Nothobranchius furzeri: one gene and its partner. The protein of the gene in region 1 interacts with the protein of each later gene in a biochemical or structural test. Links are inferred from orthologs where the notes say so. Each region holds a gene or a part of one and is shown on either strand. Other genes may lie near its edges.

Region 1 (4,433 bases):
AATAACATAGTTGAATATGAGGTGTTTAAGGGGTAATGATTGGAAGGCTAGTACCAAAGCACTGAAACGGGTATATGTAGCAATGATCAGATCGGTTATTGATTATGGTAGTATTGTATATAGTTCCGCAGGTAAAACATTCCTGAAGAAGATTGAAGTTATTCAAAGTCAGGCTTTGAGAATTTGTTGTGGAGCAATGAAAACCACACCGATAGTGTCTTACAAGTGGAAATGGGAGAGATGCCATTGACTCTTAAGTTACTGAAATTAAATTATTGGGCTAGTGTTCAAGGTAGTGAAGAGGATGAGCATATGGTTACGGGAGAGATGAAAGTAGGAGGGCAATGTTTGTATGGCAAGTATGAGAGTATGGTCTGGAAATCGTATAAATTGGCGGAAGCCTTTAAATTAAATGATAAAGTTGTTATTAAGAAATGTCTATATTCGCCTACTCCGTTTTGGTTATTTCCAAAAGTAATAATAGATTTTCATATTCAAAATGAAATTAAAATACGGAAAGGTGTGGGAAACTGGGATGATGTTGTGGAAGAAAGGTTAAATGACACATCAAGCATTCATCCCTATTTATACTGACGGGTCGAGAGAGTCAGGAAATATAACGGGATTTTCTTTCTGGATTCCAAAATTAGGTATATATCATAAAAGTTGAACATCTAATAATCTGTCAGTATATACAGTGGAAATGTTAGCCATTTCATTTAGTTTCCAGTGGATAGAACAAAATGGTGTTGGGAATAGTATTATTTGCTCGGACTCCATGTCTGTATTGTTATCAATTAAAGAAATGTCAGCTGATAAGAGGTCAGATATTTTGTATGAGATATTTGAGTGCTTGTTTAGGTTGATGAAGACTAATTCAGAGGTTAGATTTATGTGGGTTCCAGCCCACAGTGGAGTAGAGGGTAATGAAAAGGCTGATTATCATGCAAAGCAGGCAAGAAAACTGGATACTATGATGGAGGTTCTATATAGTGTTGCAGAGGTGAAATCAGTTATTAGACAGCAGATTCTGGATGAATGGCAAGAACAATGGATAAGGGATGTGAAAGGAAGACATTTATACAAATTAAAGGGAAAGGTTGGAAGAATGGAAGTCATTCCAATGAGTAACAGAAATCAAGCAGTGATAACAAGGATGAGAATGGGACATACAGCTTTGAACAGTACGCTTTTTATTCTTGGACGGCATAATACCGGTATGTGTGAATGTGGACGTGATAGGGAAACAGTAGAACATGCATTATGTACTTGTAGAAAATATGTGGGGAATAGGAAAATGTTAGTTGAAAAATTAAAAGTTAAAGGATATAAGAAATATGATTTGAATATTCTGTTAAATGGGGACTAGTGGTTTATAAGTTAGTCACAGACTTTTAAGGAAAAGTGGAATACTTAATAGAATTTAGTTTTTTTTTTGTAGGATACTCCCCACTTCAACTCACACTCCCATTCAGTAGGTGGCGGACATGCACCTGAGAGTTGGTTGCCACCCACCAATTAAACGACAAAAGAGGAAGAAGGTTGAAGGAGGCGGTGTGTGTTTGTTGGGGAAGTGGAGTGAGAGAGTTTATTCGTTTCGTTTAGTTGTTCTTAAACAATACATGCATACATTAGATTAACGTTTTAATATTCTGAAATTTTGCGCCCTGTCCGGCAAATAGCGCCTGCAGGCGAGGCGCTGCTCATCTCGAACAAGCCTGTGTACGGCAGGAGGACTGGTCACTCGAGTTCATGTTCGAAAAGGGAGGCGGAGTCAAACATGGCTGACGAAATATTGGTGATAAACACAGCTGTTGAGGACCACGAAGAAAACCAACACTTAGATGGGGCTGAAGTTTCAGGTCCGGCGGCTCACGGCAGCAACGGTGGGAACTCTGGCGAGAACACGACTCCGTCTGCGGAGGAGAGCAGCTGGTCAGCTCCTATCTTGTCTCTGGCTAGGAAGGCCACGGAGACGATTAGCAGTGGGATGAGCTACGCTACTGCCCCTAGAAAATCATCTCAGGGGTCCGCTACAGGTTCTCCATCGAAGAAAGGGTCCGAAAACTACCTGAACCACTCATCTTTAAACCATACGGGTATGACTCTTTAAATAACAATGAGATCCGACTAAACTAAGTTTCAGTGAGCAGTTACTTCCTCTTGCACTATAGTCAGCTGTCTAAAAACATGACACATACATAGGTGTGTGTGTGTGTGTGTGTGTGTGTGTGTGTGTTTGTGTGTGTGTGTGTGCGTATATATATATATATATATATATATATATATATATATATATACACACACACAGATGTGTGTATATATACATAGATGCGTGTATATACACATGTATATGTTTATATATACACGTATATGTGTATATATACACGTATACATGTGTATATACACATATATATACATGTGTGTATGTATATATATATATATATATACATGTGTGTATGTATATATATATATATATATATATATATATATATATATATATATATAGTGTATTAGGGTTGTCACGGTGTGAAAATTTAACCTCATGGTTGATGTGACCAAAATTATCACGGTTTTCGGTGTGATTGCGGTATTTTTTAAACAGTGTTGCATATGTTCAGAAAGCATTGATAGTCCTGTTCTACACAAACTGAAATAGCTTTGAAAAGGTTTAACAGTGTTTATTAAAGCTAAAATAACACAAAGCCTTAGCAAAAGTGCAACTTTTCACAAGTAAAGGAACAAATAGCTTATTTTTCTGGAACATGTTACAGTAGTCAGTGCAGGTTTAAATTATACAAATCCAAACATTCAAAACATAAACAATATGTAAACAAATCAAAGAAACACCACTTGTCTTCTCATATGCTTGTTTTCTTCATTATCAAAATAAGAATCTAAGGCCCTGTCCACACGTAGCCGGGATCTGCCAAAACGTAGATATTTTTCTACGTTTTGGCCTGTCATCCACACGAAAACGGATCTTTATAAAAACTCCGGCCAAAGTGAAGATCTGCGTTTTCTCCGTTTTGGGTGTCTGCGTGTGGACAGACAAAACCGGAGTTTTAAGGTCTGCAACGTCACTCTCCACGACAAAAAAATGATGACGTCACGTGTGCGACCTGTGTTTACACTAGCCAACAGCATGGAAGCCTTCAGAGCTGCACTCGCTTTATCAATTGTCCAAGTGCTTTTTGCTTGTTTGTTATTGCAAGCGGAATTACTGCTCCTTGCGGAAGACCACAGACGAAGGATGAGGTTAAGAACGGGGGAGGTACTGCCGCCTACAGGTCTGGCATGTCCTAAACAACATATTTATCCGGGTACGTGTGGACAGAGTTTTTTTTTTTAAAACGTGGTGGTGTGGATGCAAGTTTTTGGAGGGGCGGATATTCGTTTTTAAAAAACCCTGGCTACGTGTAGACTAGGCCTAAAACTCCAGTCCACACTTGACGTGAGCACTGTACAAGTCAACCTTAAAAAAATATGTGTTTAAAATAAATAGCCACTTTAAACAAATTACTAAAATAACTACTACACTATGTAATCAAATCCAAATGTTCAAGTATAAATGGCATTGAAAAAAAGTAAACAAGTCAATGGCTAGGAAGTAATTGTATATTTCTCTTCATCATCAACAAATAAGATGCTTCATCCAGCATCATGACTGTCAGCAAGCATGACCATTTATTTCAGGTTGAAATGCAAAAATGTCAACATATTAACCTTGTCTGGTTTAAGATGTGATCTAAGAGAGGAAAGAATATACCCGCTGGCACTGAATATTCCCTCTGATGGAACACTAGTTGCTGGAATACACAAAAGCTTTTTTGCCTGCCTGGTAAGATGAGGCAGCTCTGATGCATGGCCCCTCCACCACACCAGTGGATCATCATCAGCTAGAATGGATGGCAGAGACATGTAGACTTTGACTTCCTCCTTCACTTTATCTTCTGGGGTGGCTGGACCTGAACCCTCTTCAGATCGCTGCTGCCTTGTTGAGGTAATCTTTTTTAGTAACTCAGCAAGGCCTTTCCCTCCTGCTGCTGCTGTAGAGTTACTGCTGGTGCTTTGTGGTTCCTGCGTGACGTACAGGGGTCAGCTTCAAGGCCTCCTGAAAACAGCGGTCAACTACATCATCCACAGGGGCATCTAAGAAGTTATTCTTGAACCTGGGGTCAATGAAACAAGCCATCTGCATGACATCTTTTGCTCTCTCTGTGTACCGGTTGTGTAGGTATTCTCTCATTGCCCGTTTCGTCTGCTTGGTCAGGGCTGGCTCCTCTTCATTTTCCTCCAGGACATCACCAGTGATGTGGTCAAGGACTGGCTTAATGGCTGATAAAGTTACTCGTGTCTCTGAGTAAAGTGCATCTGTAAACTTGCTCGGTGGTTCAAGGAGCTGGCAGACTTGCTCCATGACAACTATGTCA
Region 2 (4,559 bases), on another chromosome or scaffold:
AGTGTAAAAAGGAAAGGTGAAAGGTGTGGTATGAGAATTTTGTGGATTTGTTGGCATGCTGAGGTTCGCCTTGGTGCATTAAGAGTCAAGCCAGAGCAGGAAGCCTTCATGTTTTAATGTAGGTAAGCAGGTTTGGCTCCATCAAAATCCCTAAAATCCACCCGTCAATATCCTAAATGTTAAAATGATCCTGTTAAATTATGTGTAATCCAAACTCAAATGTAGATACTTCCCGTGAGTCTGGAAAACAAACAGGAACAACTATTACAGAAGTAGTAATAATAATAATAATGCAGGCTAGGGTTAGGCATCCTGGTCAGGGACAATGTGGTCCAGTAGAGCCAGAGACGGATGAGTTTGTGGTTACCATGGAGATTCAAGTTCTTGTGAAGTTGGGCGTAGGTCTTCTCGGCTCTCTGCTCATGCACACGTGATAACAAAGGCTCTGAAGGGTCCGTGCAAAGGTCAGGGAGGGGTCACCAGCACAGCAACCTGAACCCAACACTGTCTGGTCCTCCATGGTCCTTCTTCTTCTTCTCTTCAAAAAAAAAAAAAACCCTGTCATTACATAAAGAAATTTAAAGCAACATAATAAAAAAGCAAATACTTTTCAATAAAAGATGCAACTTTTGATGTTTCTGTTATGTAACAAAAACATCACGTCAGAGATGTTGCTGAGACCATCGAGCACGGCTCTAAACCATCCAACGCTTCACATTTTTTTCCTGTACCTTGACTGCGTGAGATGCACGAGGCCCCTTAGCAGCCACACTCCTGTGTGCCCTGTGGCTGAGCGCGGCGAGGAGAACGAAGCTGTCGTAACGCGGCGTCGCCATACTGGATACCTGACCCCATCCTTTCTGGGTCCAATTCTCCTAAAACCCGAGATATGATCAGTGAACAGATGAGCACCTAAAGGGGATCTGGAATAGCTTTTTAGGGTTATTAAGCAAGCTCCTACCTGATTCTATCTTGTTGAGGATCTTCCGAGCGCACTGGACAAAAGCCTCTTCAACGTTCTCCCCCGTGAGAGCGCTGGTCTCCAGGAACATCAGCTCTAACAGACATGTTTTGATTAGAGCAGAAGCAACTGACAGTTCTTTGTAGAAAAAAACAATCAGTGTGTGGCTCGAAAAAGGCAAAGAAACAGAGGCGCTTCTGGTGGATCTCACCGTTCTCCTGAGCGAAGCGCGACGCCTCCAGGAACGTGACCTCCCTGTCAGCATCCAGGTCCTTCTTGTTGCCGCAGAGGATGATGACAATGTTTTGACTGGCTAACATCCTGGCATCGCTCAGCCACGTGGTCAGAGCGTTGTACGTTTCACGACTGCAGCCGGCGACAGACACGGATTAAAGTCTGGAGCACAGTTAGAAAACCAACAACTAAAGCCGAGTTCTGTGATACCTGGTGATGTCGTAGACAAGCAGGGCCCCCGCTGCGCCTCTGTAGTAGCTCCTGGTCACAGACCTGAGACACACACAGTTTCCGTAGAGCTAAATTTGCCACCAGCAATGCACAAACGAGACAAAAATGCTACATACTTCACTTAAGATATCAGCAATTCAAAAAAAGGTTAATTTTGTACAGAAGTTGTTATAAAAATGAAATACCACATGTAGTAATGATGGGATTTTGCCCTACCTAAAGCGTTCTTGTCCTGCTGTGTCCCAGATCTGCAGTTTGACTGTTTTGTTGACCACACTGATGATCTTAGAGCCAAACTCCACTCCGATCGTGTGGTTGGATTCATCTTTAACTGGAAACAATAAATGGATAGATGAAAAAAATGGATGTATAAATCAGGATTAGAAACAAAACTAGAGAATTATTCTGTACAAGTGTCAAATGTGTGAGATTTATTCTAAATGTTCAGAAATGTAACAGACATTTAAGTACTGTTATGCAATGTTAGTCACTTTACACGAGCAGACCTGTTGTACAGTATGTGTGCGTGAGTGAGTGTGTAGTCCGCCTAATGCAAATTAAATCTAAATTTAGAAATCAAAACCACTGTTCCATACAAACTACACCAACACTAAATAAAACACAGCCAATGTGGATTTTTCTCAAAACAATAAATGATCAACCTGAATAATTAGCCAGGCATTTAGATGATCAATCACAAAAAAAAAAATGTGAAAGAAGTGGAAATAATAGAGAACTTACATCTTTTCTCTATGAACTGGTGCAGCAGACAGGATTTTCCTGTCCCAGCATTCCCAATTACCAGGAATTTAAACAGGAAATCTACAAGGGGAACAATACAATCATTTAATAGACATAAGCTCAGCTTGACCCTCTTAATGTGGCATTCATAGGCACTAGCTCATCTTAATCCTAATCTTATTTGAATCAAGATTATTTTATAACTGAGATATAAACCAGCTGATATATATTACACATGAATACCTGATGGTTTGTTTATAAAGGCAGGGACACCTGCTTACTAACCACAGGTTTGTTCATTGTGTTTATGGTGTAAACAACTCATTTTGTATGCTGCAATAATATTTTACTGTGAGATTTAGAATGATCCAAATGTAAAATATACACATAAAGAGAGCATTAAATGGTTATTTATTTAAAAAGTTGAACAGTTCAGCCTCAAATTTATGCCAGCCCTGTCCTCCTCTTTACCCCTACCTGGTATCTAGCGGTTCTTCTGATTAGAATCCCAAAAGCTCCGTTACATTCAGTGTGAAAAGCTACATCAAACCCAGATGTATGATCTGAGTTGACTGACAGCTCTGCTTTAAGGCCAGAAGCCTTGAGTGGTGAAACGGTTAGCCTGTCGGCTATCTTTTTGCGATGAGAAAACGCCTTCTGGGCACACCTGCCTCGTCTTTACCACTGACTACCAGAAGGCACCCGTTAACTGTTGCCTCGGTTTAAAGCAGACTCCTTACCGTAAGACTCCGACATCGCCAATGTGGCGGTTTGATTCCAAAAGCAAAATGAAGGGAGGAATAAAAGTTGACAGATGCACAGCTAGCTCAGTAAAGGAATACACCAGTGATAATTTCCGTGCATTCCAGCTGATTTTTCCTTCCGACTTCCCGTAGGTTCTTCCTTTCAAAGTAAAAGTCCTTCCATGACCGACACTGTGATGCACTATATAGTTTTCGCCTCACTATGGAGCTGTTATTAAGTCTCCAGAAACGTTAAAATCATGATTTATTATAGATGTAAAAAATAATCACAAATAAGAAACATCCACATTGTAATAATTAGTGACCAGATATATTACTTATTATTGTTGTCAACTTGAAGGATTATACGTGCAAGTATTGACCAGTAGGCGGCAGTAGTGGTCACTGTGATTGGCTGACTGCAGCTAGACAACTATTTTAAAAATTGTTCTGCTGTGATAACCTTGCGTTAAAGGACCAAAACCGATTTCACATGATTTTAATACATGATCGGAATATTTGGTATTTAAAAGTAAAACGTTTTTCACCTCTATCACCGATCCAGGCCAGGAGAGTTCGCTTTCTAAACCGAAGGCTTTACCATAGAAGAAGAAACGCAGACTCAAGCTAGTGAACTAGCCTAGCTGCGGAACATTATTTTGTCGAAATATGGCTACTGTGCTCCCCATTAGACCACCTTGCGATAGTAATCCTGCCACCCCAGGAGCGCAATCTTTAAAGGTGACATTCACACTCCTTAAACTGCTTCATGCTTCAGCCTGTGTCCACGAATGACCCCGTTAGCCGTATTAGCGTCCATTCTTTGTTTTCATGTGTGCTCAGTTTATTCAATTTACCTTTCAGTTGTTGAAAAGTCGCCTGTGTAATTTGACTCGTATAAAAACGAAACGTAACCTCAAAATGCATTATTTGCTAATTTCTCTATTTTAAGTTCTACTTTTATTTTATATCTAATGAAACTTATACTTGTTTTTCCTAAAATAACACGTTTTGTACACGTGAGTTGTTTACAGGTAATGAATTATTATATCACTCATAAATCATGTTTTGCAGTGGCTCATTTAAAATAAAAAATGTATGAAGTAACCCTGAACTGGCAAACAACACACGAGTCTTTTAATCCTACCTTGTCAGGGAAATGGTCTTGTCTAATATGTACAGTAGTTTCTATAAACTTTCATTTTTTAGAAGTGATGCTCAAGCCAGAGGGTTTGAACCCTATTATTCTAGAGGTTAATGCCTCTAAAGTTGATGATGCAGCTGTATTGCATTTCAGGTTTTGGTTGCCCTCCATTCATTTTCACTGATTTGGGTACAGAGGAAACACTCAAGTCTTTTGTAAACAACTACTTTCATGGTCCTTTGTCAGGTTTTTCCAGGATAGATTTATATTTCTTAAGCACTGTGACTTTCAGGAATAGTTTACCTGATGTATACATCTCTTGAAACCTGACAATTTTTTAAATATTTAATCACCTCTTATTCTGCTGTTACATGACTGGGCAGAAAATGTGTAAAAAGCAGCAAAAGTTGAAATAAATTAGAACTTTTGATAAAGATAAAAACATTCAGCATGTTTTTTTTTTTTATTTTAATGAAGAGCTTTTTTCCTGTTTTTAGGAGGATGT

Evidence for each region.
Region 2: the proteins of rufy1 (region 1) and rab4a form a complex in vitro, tested with the Homo sapiens proteins (2 studies listed by BioGRID). The link is inferred for Nothobranchius furzeri from reciprocal best matches to the Homo sapiens genes RUFY1 and RAB4A.

The regions. Positions count from the first base shown.
Region 1 is NC_091741.1:103,293,715-103,298,147, forward strand, and holds the start of rufy1 (RUN and FYVE domain-containing protein 1), read left to right. Parts: upstream 1-1,549; 5' UTR 1,550-1,780; coding exon 1,781-2,099; intron 2,100-4,433. UniProt on the Homo sapiens protein: Activating adapter involved in cargo sorting from early/recycling endosomes. Regulates retrieval of proteins from endosomes to the trans-Golgi network through interaction with the dynein-dynactin complex.
Region 2 is NC_091749.1:34,752,657-34,757,215, reverse strand, and holds rab4a (ras-related protein Rab-4A), read right to left. Parts: upstream 3,060-4,559; 5' UTR 2,924-3,059; coding exon 2,908-2,923; intron 2,249-2,907; coding exon 2,168-2,248; intron 1,758-2,167; coding exon 1,643-1,757; intron 1,469-1,642; coding exon 1,406-1,468; intron 1,328-1,405; coding exon 1,173-1,327; intron 1,058-1,172; coding exon 962-1,057; intron 876-961; coding exon 760-875; 3' UTR 732-759; intron 559-731; exon of another isoform or gene 539-558; 3' UTR 98-538; downstream 1-97. Other genes in the region: phf10 (PHD finger protein 10), read left to right, coding at 3,580-3,651, 4,552-4,559. UniProt on the Homo sapiens protein: The small GTPases Rab are key regulators of intracellular membrane trafficking, from the formation of transport vesicles to their fusion with membranes.